Arabidopsis thaliana: one gene and its partner. The protein of the gene in region 1 interacts with the protein of each later gene in a biochemical or structural test. Each region holds a gene or a part of one and is shown on either strand. Other genes may lie near its edges. The genes, in order: IAA29 and WRKY57.

What was found.
Region 2: the proteins of IAA29 (region 1) and WRKY57 form a complex in vitro, tested with the Arabidopsis thaliana proteins (one study listed by BioGRID).

What each region holds. Positions count from the first base shown.
Region 1 is NC_003075.7:15,581,628-15,585,657, forward strand, and holds IAA29 (indole-3-acetic acid inducible 29), read left to right. Parts: upstream 1-1,704; 5' UTR 1,705-1,851; coding exon 1,852-2,111; intron 2,112-2,295; coding exon 2,296-2,624; coding exon of another isoform or gene 2,625-2,635; exon of another isoform or gene 2,636-2,729; coding exon 2,730-2,820; intron 2,821-2,925; coding exon 2,926-3,001; 3' UTR 3,002-3,271; downstream 3,272-4,030. UniProt on the Arabidopsis thaliana protein: Aux/IAA proteins are short-lived transcriptional factors that function as repressors of early auxin response genes at low auxin concentrations.
Region 2 is NC_003070.9:26,053,547-26,060,255, forward strand, and holds WRKY57 (WRKY DNA-binding protein 57), read right to left. Parts: upstream 4,838-6,709; 5' UTR 4,364-4,837; coding exon 4,008-4,363; intron 3,167-4,007; coding exon 3,023-3,166; intron 2,936-3,022; coding exon 2,572-2,935; 3' UTR 2,571-2,571; exon of another isoform or gene 2,494-2,570; intron 1,383-2,493; 3' UTR 729-1,382; downstream 1-728. UniProt on the Arabidopsis thaliana protein: Transcription factor. Interacts specifically with the W box (5'-(T)TGAC[CT]-3'), a frequently occurring elicitor-responsive cis-acting element.

The DNA of each region.
Region 1 (4,030 bases):
GTGTTGCTTTATTTTGTTTATAAATGAATTTGGTTCGACCAGATAGTCTAATATCAGTTTTTAAACACTGGTTTTAATAAAATCATATGTCGGCAATTCAACCTGTTACGTTGTATGATTGTATCCTAGTCAAATAGGGGAGGAGGTACTAGTCGTTTCAATTAGTTTACGTAATCAATCCAAAGAAACTATAAGCTATAAAGATCCTCAATTTGTTGGTTACAATAAAAACAACAGTTGTCAAAATTTATGTTTATAAAAAGTAATAACTATGTTCCTTCCCATATAGAGCAAAGTACCTCAGGATAGGCAAACCGTACTTAATAGCCCTTATTCATAATTTGATCCAACTCTTCCCCACAAAATTGCAACTGATGAAGTCAATACTTGTATAGTGAGTCAAGCTATAAATGTCTAGTGATAGTTTTGTCTCTTAAAAGGTTAACAAAAGTTATGACAAGCTGAAAAATCAGAGTTTGCTAGGAGTATTACTTACAGTTATCAGTTTAAGTATCACATTTATAGTATTGTATACAATGATTCTTAAATTCCACCTTTTCCGTGCGAAACCAAATTTTCTATTGGAAACATAGAATGTAAACAAAAATATGGGACGTTGTCCGTTCCAACATTAACCAAACTTGTCTATTACTAATATTCGTGTTGGTTTGATGTTGGATGTCTAAATTCGTTGAATCATGTGTCTCTTGACGAAATATGCATCTTCTTATTTCTTAGTATAGATGCACTTTATCATTCTTTTAGTACATGCTTAATTTTTTTTTTTAAAATATGTTGATTGTCATATTGCCAAAAGTATGAATTAAAGACGCACATCTAACACAAGTTAGCAGCCGTAAATCCTTCCATAAATTTATTTTGCAAGTTTTGCTCATTATATAATGAGCGGAATTTATGATATAATCGTTTGTAATAATGTTATGTTTTGATCAAAATTTGAAATTAAAAGTAGGTGAGAACTTGTTATACAGTGTAGATAAGGTGGATCTTGAATATAAAAATAAAATTTATAAGATGTATTTAAAGCAGAAAAGCATAAAACTTTAGATAAAATAATGTAAAAATGTGTTAGCATCAATGTTGGGATATTGGCCGACCCGAACTTAATCAATGTCGGAAGCCATTACTTCTCTCCCAAAAGACCTTTTTCCTTCGGAGAACTAGGAACTTCCTCACTACCTTTCGCTTAACGTGAAAGCCATAAATTTCATATATTCATAAAAATCAGAAAATCTAAAACTGTTTAGTATCACCTGTTTTTGGTATAGACTATTGGTTTTGTGTTACTTCCTAAACTATATGATTTCGTACTTCATTGGATCTTATAGAGATGAATATTCGTAAAAAGATAAGTTATCTGGTGAAACGTTACTTCAGTCATGTTGGGTCTAGATTTACATACTACTATGAAACATTTTAAGATAATAATTATCCTAGCCAACTATATGTTCTATATTATGGGCCAAGAAGATATAGAACTAAAAGTTCAGAATTTAACGATATAAATTACTAGTATATTCTAATACTTGAATGATTACTGTTTTAGTTGTTTAGAATAAATAGTAGCGTGTTGGTTAAGATACCATCTATCCACATCTATATTTGTGTGGGTTACATAAAATGTACATAATATTATATACATATATATGTATATTTTTGATAAAGCCATATATTACTCCTTGACCTCTGCCCCCATTTCCTTTTACTATAAATAGGAATACTCATGATCCTCTAATTCAGCAATCAACACCAACGAACACAACCTTTTCCAAAGCCAATAATAAAAGAACAAAAGCTTTTAGTTTCATCAAAGACGAAGCTGCCTTAGAAATGGAGTTGGATCTTGGTCTATCTCTTTCACCTCATAAATCTTCCAAGTTAGGGTTTAACTTTGACCTCAACAAGCATTGTGCGATCGAGGGTGCTGCGTCTTGTTTGGGTACCGAAAAACTGCGTTTTGAGGCGACGTTTGGGTTAGGGAATGTGGAGGAAAATTGTTATATGCCAAAACAGCGTTTGTTTGCCTTGAATGGCCAGCCCAACGAGGAAGACGAAGATCCTCTGGAATCCGAGTCTTCAATAGTTTACGAGTGAGTACCTTGACTATTTTAGTATTTGACAACAATTAGGTTAAAGTAGTTACATCTAGTATTATTATATAATAAATGACTCCGTAGTTTTCAAAAATGTTATGATGTTGTAGACTTGTAGTTAACTCAATGGAGAGGCATAATTTGTATTTTTTTGTAACATATAATTAATTTTAATATTTAGTGATGAGGAGGAAAATAGCGAAGTTGTTGGATGGCCACCAGTAAAAACATGTATGATAAAGTATGGTAGTTATCATCATCGTCATATTCGTAATCACCATCATTGCCCGTATCATCATCGTGGTAGGAGGATCACGGCGATGAACAACAACATATCTAATCCAACAACGGCTACTGTGGGATCATCATCTTCTTCGTCAATATCATCAAGATCATCAATGTATGTTAAGGTTAAGATGGATGGTGTGGCAATAGCAAGAAAAGTGGATATCAAGCTTTTTAACTCTTACGAGTCCCTCACTAACTCCTTGATCACTATGTTTACCGAATGTAAGTACTAATTACGTTTATCAAAATCTAGAGTAAGAAACCTATAAACAATTGAAAATAGAACGTAACTTTTTACTACTATTGAATCTAATTTTGGGTTATCAGATGAAGATTGCGACAGAGAAGATACAAATTATACATTCACCTTCCAAGGGAAAGAGGGTGACTGGCTACTTCGAGGGGATGTTACATGGAAGTAAGTTTACTTCTCTATATTTCAAGAAAAATGACTTATTGAGTAATGACTACTATACTCTCTTTCTTATATATTGATACTTAACTTGTTGTTTTGGTTTTGTAGGATCTTTGCGGAATCTGTTCATCGGATATCAATAATTAGAGATCGACCGTGTGCATATACAAGATGTTTGTTTTAAGGATAGGCGTTCAAATCGGACCATTATTTTTTATTTTGTAATTAAAATGTCTATCATTTGATTAAATTTCCACTCGATCTTTTTCCTCTATTCTTCTAGTTCTTAGTATCAAATCCAATGGTTTATAATCTGTTGTTATCTGATCCATGGCTAACACATGGACAAAAAGCTAAAGAAAATTCAAAAGTAAAAAAAACTCATGAATTGTCAAAGACAGACTAGCTGATAATAATTAAGATGTTAGACTTTTTGTGTGTACCGAATTGATTTTTTTTTCATAGACTTGTTTGATTGAGAAACCATAAGAATGTAATGGTTGCGGACGTCCGGGTTTTACACAAGTAAGTATGTCACTTTATGTGATTCAAGAGATTTCCAAGTAATTAAATTTTGGTTTGAATTAGATCGGAGTACGATTTTAAATTGTGAGTAAACAAGGGGAAAAAAAAAAGCATGAGTAAACAGAAAAAAAATGACATAAAAACTGATACATTTCTTAAACAATTTAATTAGCTGAATAGCTGATAACAAAATTTAAAATGAATATTATTGATCTTAGCTTAAAATGCGTAATTTAGATTAAAATATTAATCAATAATGAATGATATATAAGAAAATCTTTTATTAAAATGGTTATTATATTTACAATTTGCATAAAATTATATCATAAGTTTATAATCTTTAAATTAAATAATATGACAAACATAATCTTTATATAAGGAAAATAGATATTTTAGTGAAATTTAGAGAAACACAACTTTAGATCTACTAAAGTTATGAATGAAACAATCAAACAACTGTAAAAAGATCCCTACAAAAATTGAAAATTATTTAATTACCAAACAAAACAAAAAGAAAAGACATCTTCACCGATACGTTCGGTGTTCAGACTTGAGTCTCTCTCGGACACACGGCTCCCGTCAATCCCGGTCACAAACCAAACCTTCGCATCTCTATCTGTCTCTTCAGATCGACGGCTCTAATCACTCCACGTCAGCTTGGACTCATAACTCTCTTATTAAATTGGTG
Region 2 (6,709 bases), on another chromosome or scaffold:
ACAGTTTTTATACGAACGACCATGGACTAAATAGTTTTTAGTCACAGAGATAATTCGTAATCCTTCTTCTTCTTTTTATCTCCGGTAATGACTCGGAATCATAAGACATAGTGTTGTCTCAACAGAAACATGAAATAAACATTGACCTTGTTGTTGATTGTGGTTGTCTTGGTTCAAAACCGGAATTTTATATTTTAATGTGAACATAATTGTGCGTTTTGCAAATACTTTTAAGTGGAGTTTTGGCTGATTAAGAACAATTAATGTCGACAATTAGCATGTTGACATATATTTAGTTCACAAGTCGACATTTATTTTCTTGATTTAAAATGTGAACTTAATTTACCAAAACGGAACGGTTTTTACACATTTGCTTGGCGTAGCTAGAAGTTGATATGTACGTCACTTCAATACATTCATTAACTTTGAACGGTTCATTGAAAAGCAAGACTTTGAATGTCTTTGGAAAGATTTAATTTGTTCGGATCAAAACATTTTTTTTTAGCATAAATAGGATTGTAATTTTTAAAATATGTAAACTGAGTAATTCTGATCATTAGACTGGTTTGTCTTCTGATTTAATGATCGTTTACGTCTCTTTTATATTTTGGCCTTTTGGGAGACAACGAGGCACCGCAATGGTTATCGTTTTCATCACGTAAACGAAATTCCGTTCCAAACCAAAAAACGATGATAAAACCATAATATATAGTCTAGATCAAAATGGGTAAAAGTCAAACATGATTGATGATTACCACAAATTTCGTCTTTTTTACCAACGTACAAAACATGTTAGTTACATGAATAGATTATCACCACATTCACAATGGCATGTCATATAAGTCGATGCTGTTCGGATTATCCATGCCTTGACCACGTTATAAGATATTTTCACCAAAGCAATTGATAATCTCTTTTTATAAATTACGCATCGCGAATTCTGTTCTCCAATATGAATTGGGGATATTCTTGCAATCTGTAAAGTTCATATAGATATATATCGCCCTAAAGTTATAAAGATAAAAGTATAAAATAATTGTAAAATTGATGAAAAGAATAATAAAAAATAACGTTATTTCCTCCATGTTCTTTTTCTTAAGTGCACATACATGCATCAAATGTGGGATGGATCCACGATTAAGATTAATGTTGTGTTACATCAAAATTATACCTGGATATATAACTACATATATAACAAGAAATATACATGAAGAAATTGCAAACGTACCGGTGGTGTGCTATTGATCAACAATGAGGTAATATATAGATCCATTGTTACAACGCCATATTGTTATACCCTCCCTGCGCATATTCTGGTCTGCAATATCTTCTATATATAATGAGTTAGCACCTCCTTAGCTATTGCTACGTACCAAGCTTACCTGGGAGATTAAATCAAACAAGGCAGATATGTATATATGTTACATTTCATCTTTGGAAATAGCATATGTTAATGTCAATGGTGTATAATTTGGTAAAGTTGATCTTATAAGAAATGTTTACAAATCAAACTATATATACGTAATTTAATAAATAAAAAATATATGTACACGAATTTACGTATTAAAGGTTTCAATTGTGGAGCTAGCTAAGATGCTCATACGTCTCTTCTACCTCATTTTCTTCCTTTTTCCTTTATTGGCTGTCTTTGGCTAAAACAGAAAGCATTTATTCCTATGACCTAACACATTACCCTCAGAACTTATCCTACATGCTTCGCGTAGTACTTCTTGTAAATATGCTTGTACATATACTGATATACATACACATAGACATAAGAATGATGCACCATGCAGGACACAGAATCACGCATATATACATGCAATTGTGAACACACACAAAAGGTTATAAATGTAAATGGAAAAGCCATTATCGTGACACTGAGTGGAGTAGTTGAGCTTCGATTTAAATATTTGTTGACATTTCTATAAACCCGCCGACCCATTTTGGGCTCGTCTCTATCAGACACAAGTAAGCCTATATATGCCTTATAGCAAGAGGGGTGAGACAAAAGGCACTATTATACCAGTGCTTGATCCTTATACAATCACTCGTAAATATATACATATATATATATATATATATATATCTGTGTGTGTATTTAAATATATATAGAGAGAGGCAATCATCCACTTATTATATATGCATGCATCATCCAACTTTATAATATGTTCTGCAAAAATGAATACTAGAGAAAGAAAAAGCACTGGCCGACATATCTATCGAGTGATCTAAATTGTTCCACAAGAGAGATAATGGTTCGCATCAATGATTAGACCAACACGATATTTGATCCTAATATTCATAAGTACATCTACATCAGTTAGACTTTGTTTCTGTCAAAGCATGGGAATTTTATCCCACCTAAGACATCCCTTGATGTGGATTTTCAGCTTCGGCCTAAAACGAAAAACCGTTTATCCCTTTGTGGTCCATTTAAAGTTTTTAAACCCTTGCATACCAAAGATATATATATTTGATCTCTTTATAGAGTTGATCACTCCTAAGACTATTAATGCACGAACATTAACAAATACAACAAAAAATATATATAACATGTAAGAAATTACCTCAAGGGTTGCGCATAGTTTGAGGTACAATATCACCAAGTAAGCCTTCCTCTGATGGAGTAGACACGGCAGGTGTATCTTCAGTAGTAGGTCGGGGTAACCGCGGTGAAGGAGCATTATTGTCTCTGTGAAGTTGATGAAGGAGTTCTTGGTAATAATAAGGATTTGGTAATGGAGGAGGGAGATGATGATGAGAAGTGAAGCTATGTGGGTCGTGTGCAGTGAGGATTCCACCACGAGGGAATCCAATGGTTTGATGGCAATGTTGTCCTTCGTATGTTGTGATCACTATCGATGGATCATCTGATGAACGTTCTACTCTCTTCTTCACCGTGCATCTGCTGTTTGTGCATCTATAGTAGCTCCTATATATCACAACAACAATAAGAAATATAGGTTGCATATCCGTTAACTAAGAGAATGATCAAAGAAACTGATGACTTATATACGACCTTGGGAATGGGCTATTCTTGACGGCTTTTTGTCCATATTTACGCCATCGATATCCATCTTCAAGATTATCCACATCACTCTTGGTCATGAATGCGAATCTTGGTTGCCGAATTCGCTTTTGAGCCTTCTTCTTCTCCTTCACTCTAGAAAACAAAGTATATAACCATGCATCAATATCACAGAGTAACCAATTAATCAAGCTATCAAATTCAAAAAAATATCACAAAACATGGACTCCAATCCTAATATTGCACAGTCAAAACAACCACGGAAAATAAAAAAGAGAGTTTAAAATAAAACGCAATTAACTTGAACATCTAACCAAAAAAAATTGTTACTTGACTTCAAATGCTTGCTATAACGTTTTCATTAAAATCATCCATTTTACATTGCTAGAACATTTTCATCCATCTTTTAAGTGAAAACCCTACATACGGAACATCTTATGAAACAACGATTGACGAGACAAGAATTGTTAAAAAAATCAGAGTCTTTTTTAATAACTTTGCTAGATAGATACTATGTAGATTAACATCATTAAAACGTGAGACGCTTTTTGACCTAACATTAGTATAATTAAAAAAGAAAAGGAAAGGACGAGGAGAAAAAGAAGATGTAGAGTGCACGCTAATATCACAGCCGCTATTGCGGCGGTGTTCCTCCCATTCCTCCATCATCATTATTATTTACTCCAACTGCCACCGACGATTCTTTACTTAATTACCAATTTCTCCTTCCCTCTCCAAAACTTCTAATGTACTACTGTACGGACGAACTCATCACTCTCTATCTTTCTTGCGATGCCAAAGAAATTACTCAAAAGAAAGAAAATAAATGAGAGAAAAAATGGGGCTTTTGGCTTTGGCCTCAAGATAAAACTAAAACCCTCCCCACCACCAACACTAAGATAATGAAGTAAATTACGATCGGACCCCTGCAAACAAAAACACACACGTGTTTCTCGTCTCAGTAAAAAAAACTCACGGTGTCTCCGGTGGTGGTGTTTTCTCGGCGGAGGCGGTTGAGTTCTCGGCCGGATCTTCACTTGAACTTGAGGTAGCTGAGGGATTATTATTAGTAGAGGTAACGGCAACGGAAACGGCGGCGGATGAGGAACAAGAAGAAGTGACGGTGGTAGGTTTGACTCCGGTGGTTTGTGTTAAATCGGAGTCGAATCTGAGACTGTGAGGATGATCGGAGGAGTGGTGGAGGTTCCAACCGAAGTCAGAGAGGATATTGGAAGTGTCTCGGTCGAAGAAGTCAGAATCTTGAGCTGTGAGTGTGAGTTCTCTCCAAGCAGAGTCGTCGTTGCTCAGATCGGGATTATCAGGATCGTTCATGATGATTGATCGGCGAGAGAAGTAGTGATAAGAGAAGATAGAGAAAGAGAGGTAGAGAGAGAAAAAGAGAGGAGCTAGGGTTTGTTCTTGATTGGAAGAGAAAGAAAGAAAGAAAGAAAGAAAAGAGAGTGAAAAAAAAACTTTGAAACCCGTTAAAGTGCAGTGTCTCGTCAAGGACCGATCTCAGACTCTCTCTCTCTTTGTCTATACGAGAGATTCTTTTAATTTATTTAATTTTTGGAAATTGCGTAAACACAAAATATATTAATAATAATTCAAGAGAGAGAGGGAAAAAAAAGAAGAGAAAGTTGAAAAAATGGAACGTCAACGTCAAAAGGGTCAAGTGAAACGGAACGGGAGGCTGCTAGTAGCGGAGAAAGTGAGAGGCCCACGTCTACTTTTTGAGTCCTATAGATCGACGCCTATTTTTAGACTCGGATTTGCATTTACTCTTCAATTAACATAGATGATGAGACTTCTTTCACTATTGAAATTGGTACCACTAATCCAATTGTCCAAAGAAGGACGATTAGCAAGATTTGTTCGTTTTATAGTTGTTGGTTCATCGAGACTTTTGTTTTTATGTATCTACTACTATTAGTCGATGTTACTGTTGCAACTATGAAACAAACCTAATTGAGTTATTGGTCATTGTTGATGTCGTGACTCGTGAGCGATTACGAAACAAACATACTATCAGAACCCTAGTTCGATCTGGTATAATTTTTGTTGTATGAGTCCATGGGATTCCTTTTTGTGGAAGAAAAGAAGCTTCAACTTAAAAATACCACCTACTTGTTTGTGGTTCGGATGACTGATGATGCGAGGATAAAAAAGCATAATTTTTTTTTTTTTTTTTTATGAAATGAGGTATAATTGAAAATGAATAAAGTATATTTAAATTTTGATTGAAAATTAGTTAGAAAGTAAATAATTGGTTTCTGCGTGTTGTCCGTGTTGGATATGACAAGAATCTAGCGAATGTAAACCACAAACAATTAACCGGCCACGTGGAAATTCTTAATCCTCATAAGTCATATATGATAATTATCTTATAATCATATTCACATGTTATTCCTTATTTATATTCCCATAATTGCAATCCATCAAACAAACGTTTCCGGTCGCACTCAGACTCAAACAACCATATCTTCGAGATTCATGTAAACGTTCCCTGTGGAAAAACTAAACAACATCGTCTTTTAAATAAAAAAGTGTCTATAAAATCAGCAGATGAATCGATTTTTGTTTAAATACATGCACGGATTAAAACGAGACACATGTCTACGTGATGTCTAACCATTATTAGAATATTGTTGAAATCATGTAACATATGTACCACACGCTACTACGCTAACAACGTATATATAGAATCATAGATACAGCTGTAATACAAGTTGTGTTTTAAAATTATGATTATAGAAAAACAGTTAACTTTGTCCATATACACTTTTGTGAAGATATGTGGATATGAATAATTTAGGTTCACATGTGTTTTTTAATCAAAGAATTAAGTATCAATACACATCTAAATAGCAACATTATTCTTTACCATTTTTGGGTTTGGTCTATCGATCTCGGTGCTATTATAACGCTAGCATCTACGTCGAGAATCGTTTGTGCGTACACGCAAGAGGGACACCTACTTGTATTTGCACAATCCATCTATATCCTCGTAGGCCCTTTGATTCGATATACATATCCTCGATAAATTATAAATAGTGGATTATGAATAGGAAGTATCAATAATGGTCCTCTCTAAAAAAAAAAAGGTATCAATAATGGGAGCAAATCATGTTAGAAATCAAATCAACATAAATATTGATTTGTAAATTTATTATATGATATAAACCGTTAACTTGATTACTAATTAAATGGAGTAAGTTTTTTAGTTTAGCTATAAAAAGACTGACCTATGTTTTTTATATATCATTTAAATTTGTTCTCAGTTCTAATGTGATATATGTAAAAAGGAAAATAAAATGATTCAACAAAACCGGTACAACGCATAGAAAATATGGTATTGTCATCTATTTACATATCACTGTTTCTTACCAAAAACAGACCATTATTTGTTTTTGTACCACTATTTCTCACTACTATATCTCTTACCGATTAATAGTATAGATGCAATCTCTTATTGTTAAACATTTTTTTTACCGATTAATTTCCATTGATTTATACTTCATAATCTTATATGCTCAGTTTTTTTTTTTATCATTTCTGATTTATAACTTATACACGCATATTAATAAGTTGGAATTCAAATTGTGATAAATAGTGTTGCGGCTACAAGCCCCCGTCACTAGCAGCTACAAAAACTACGTTTCCTCATATCATTCTTCA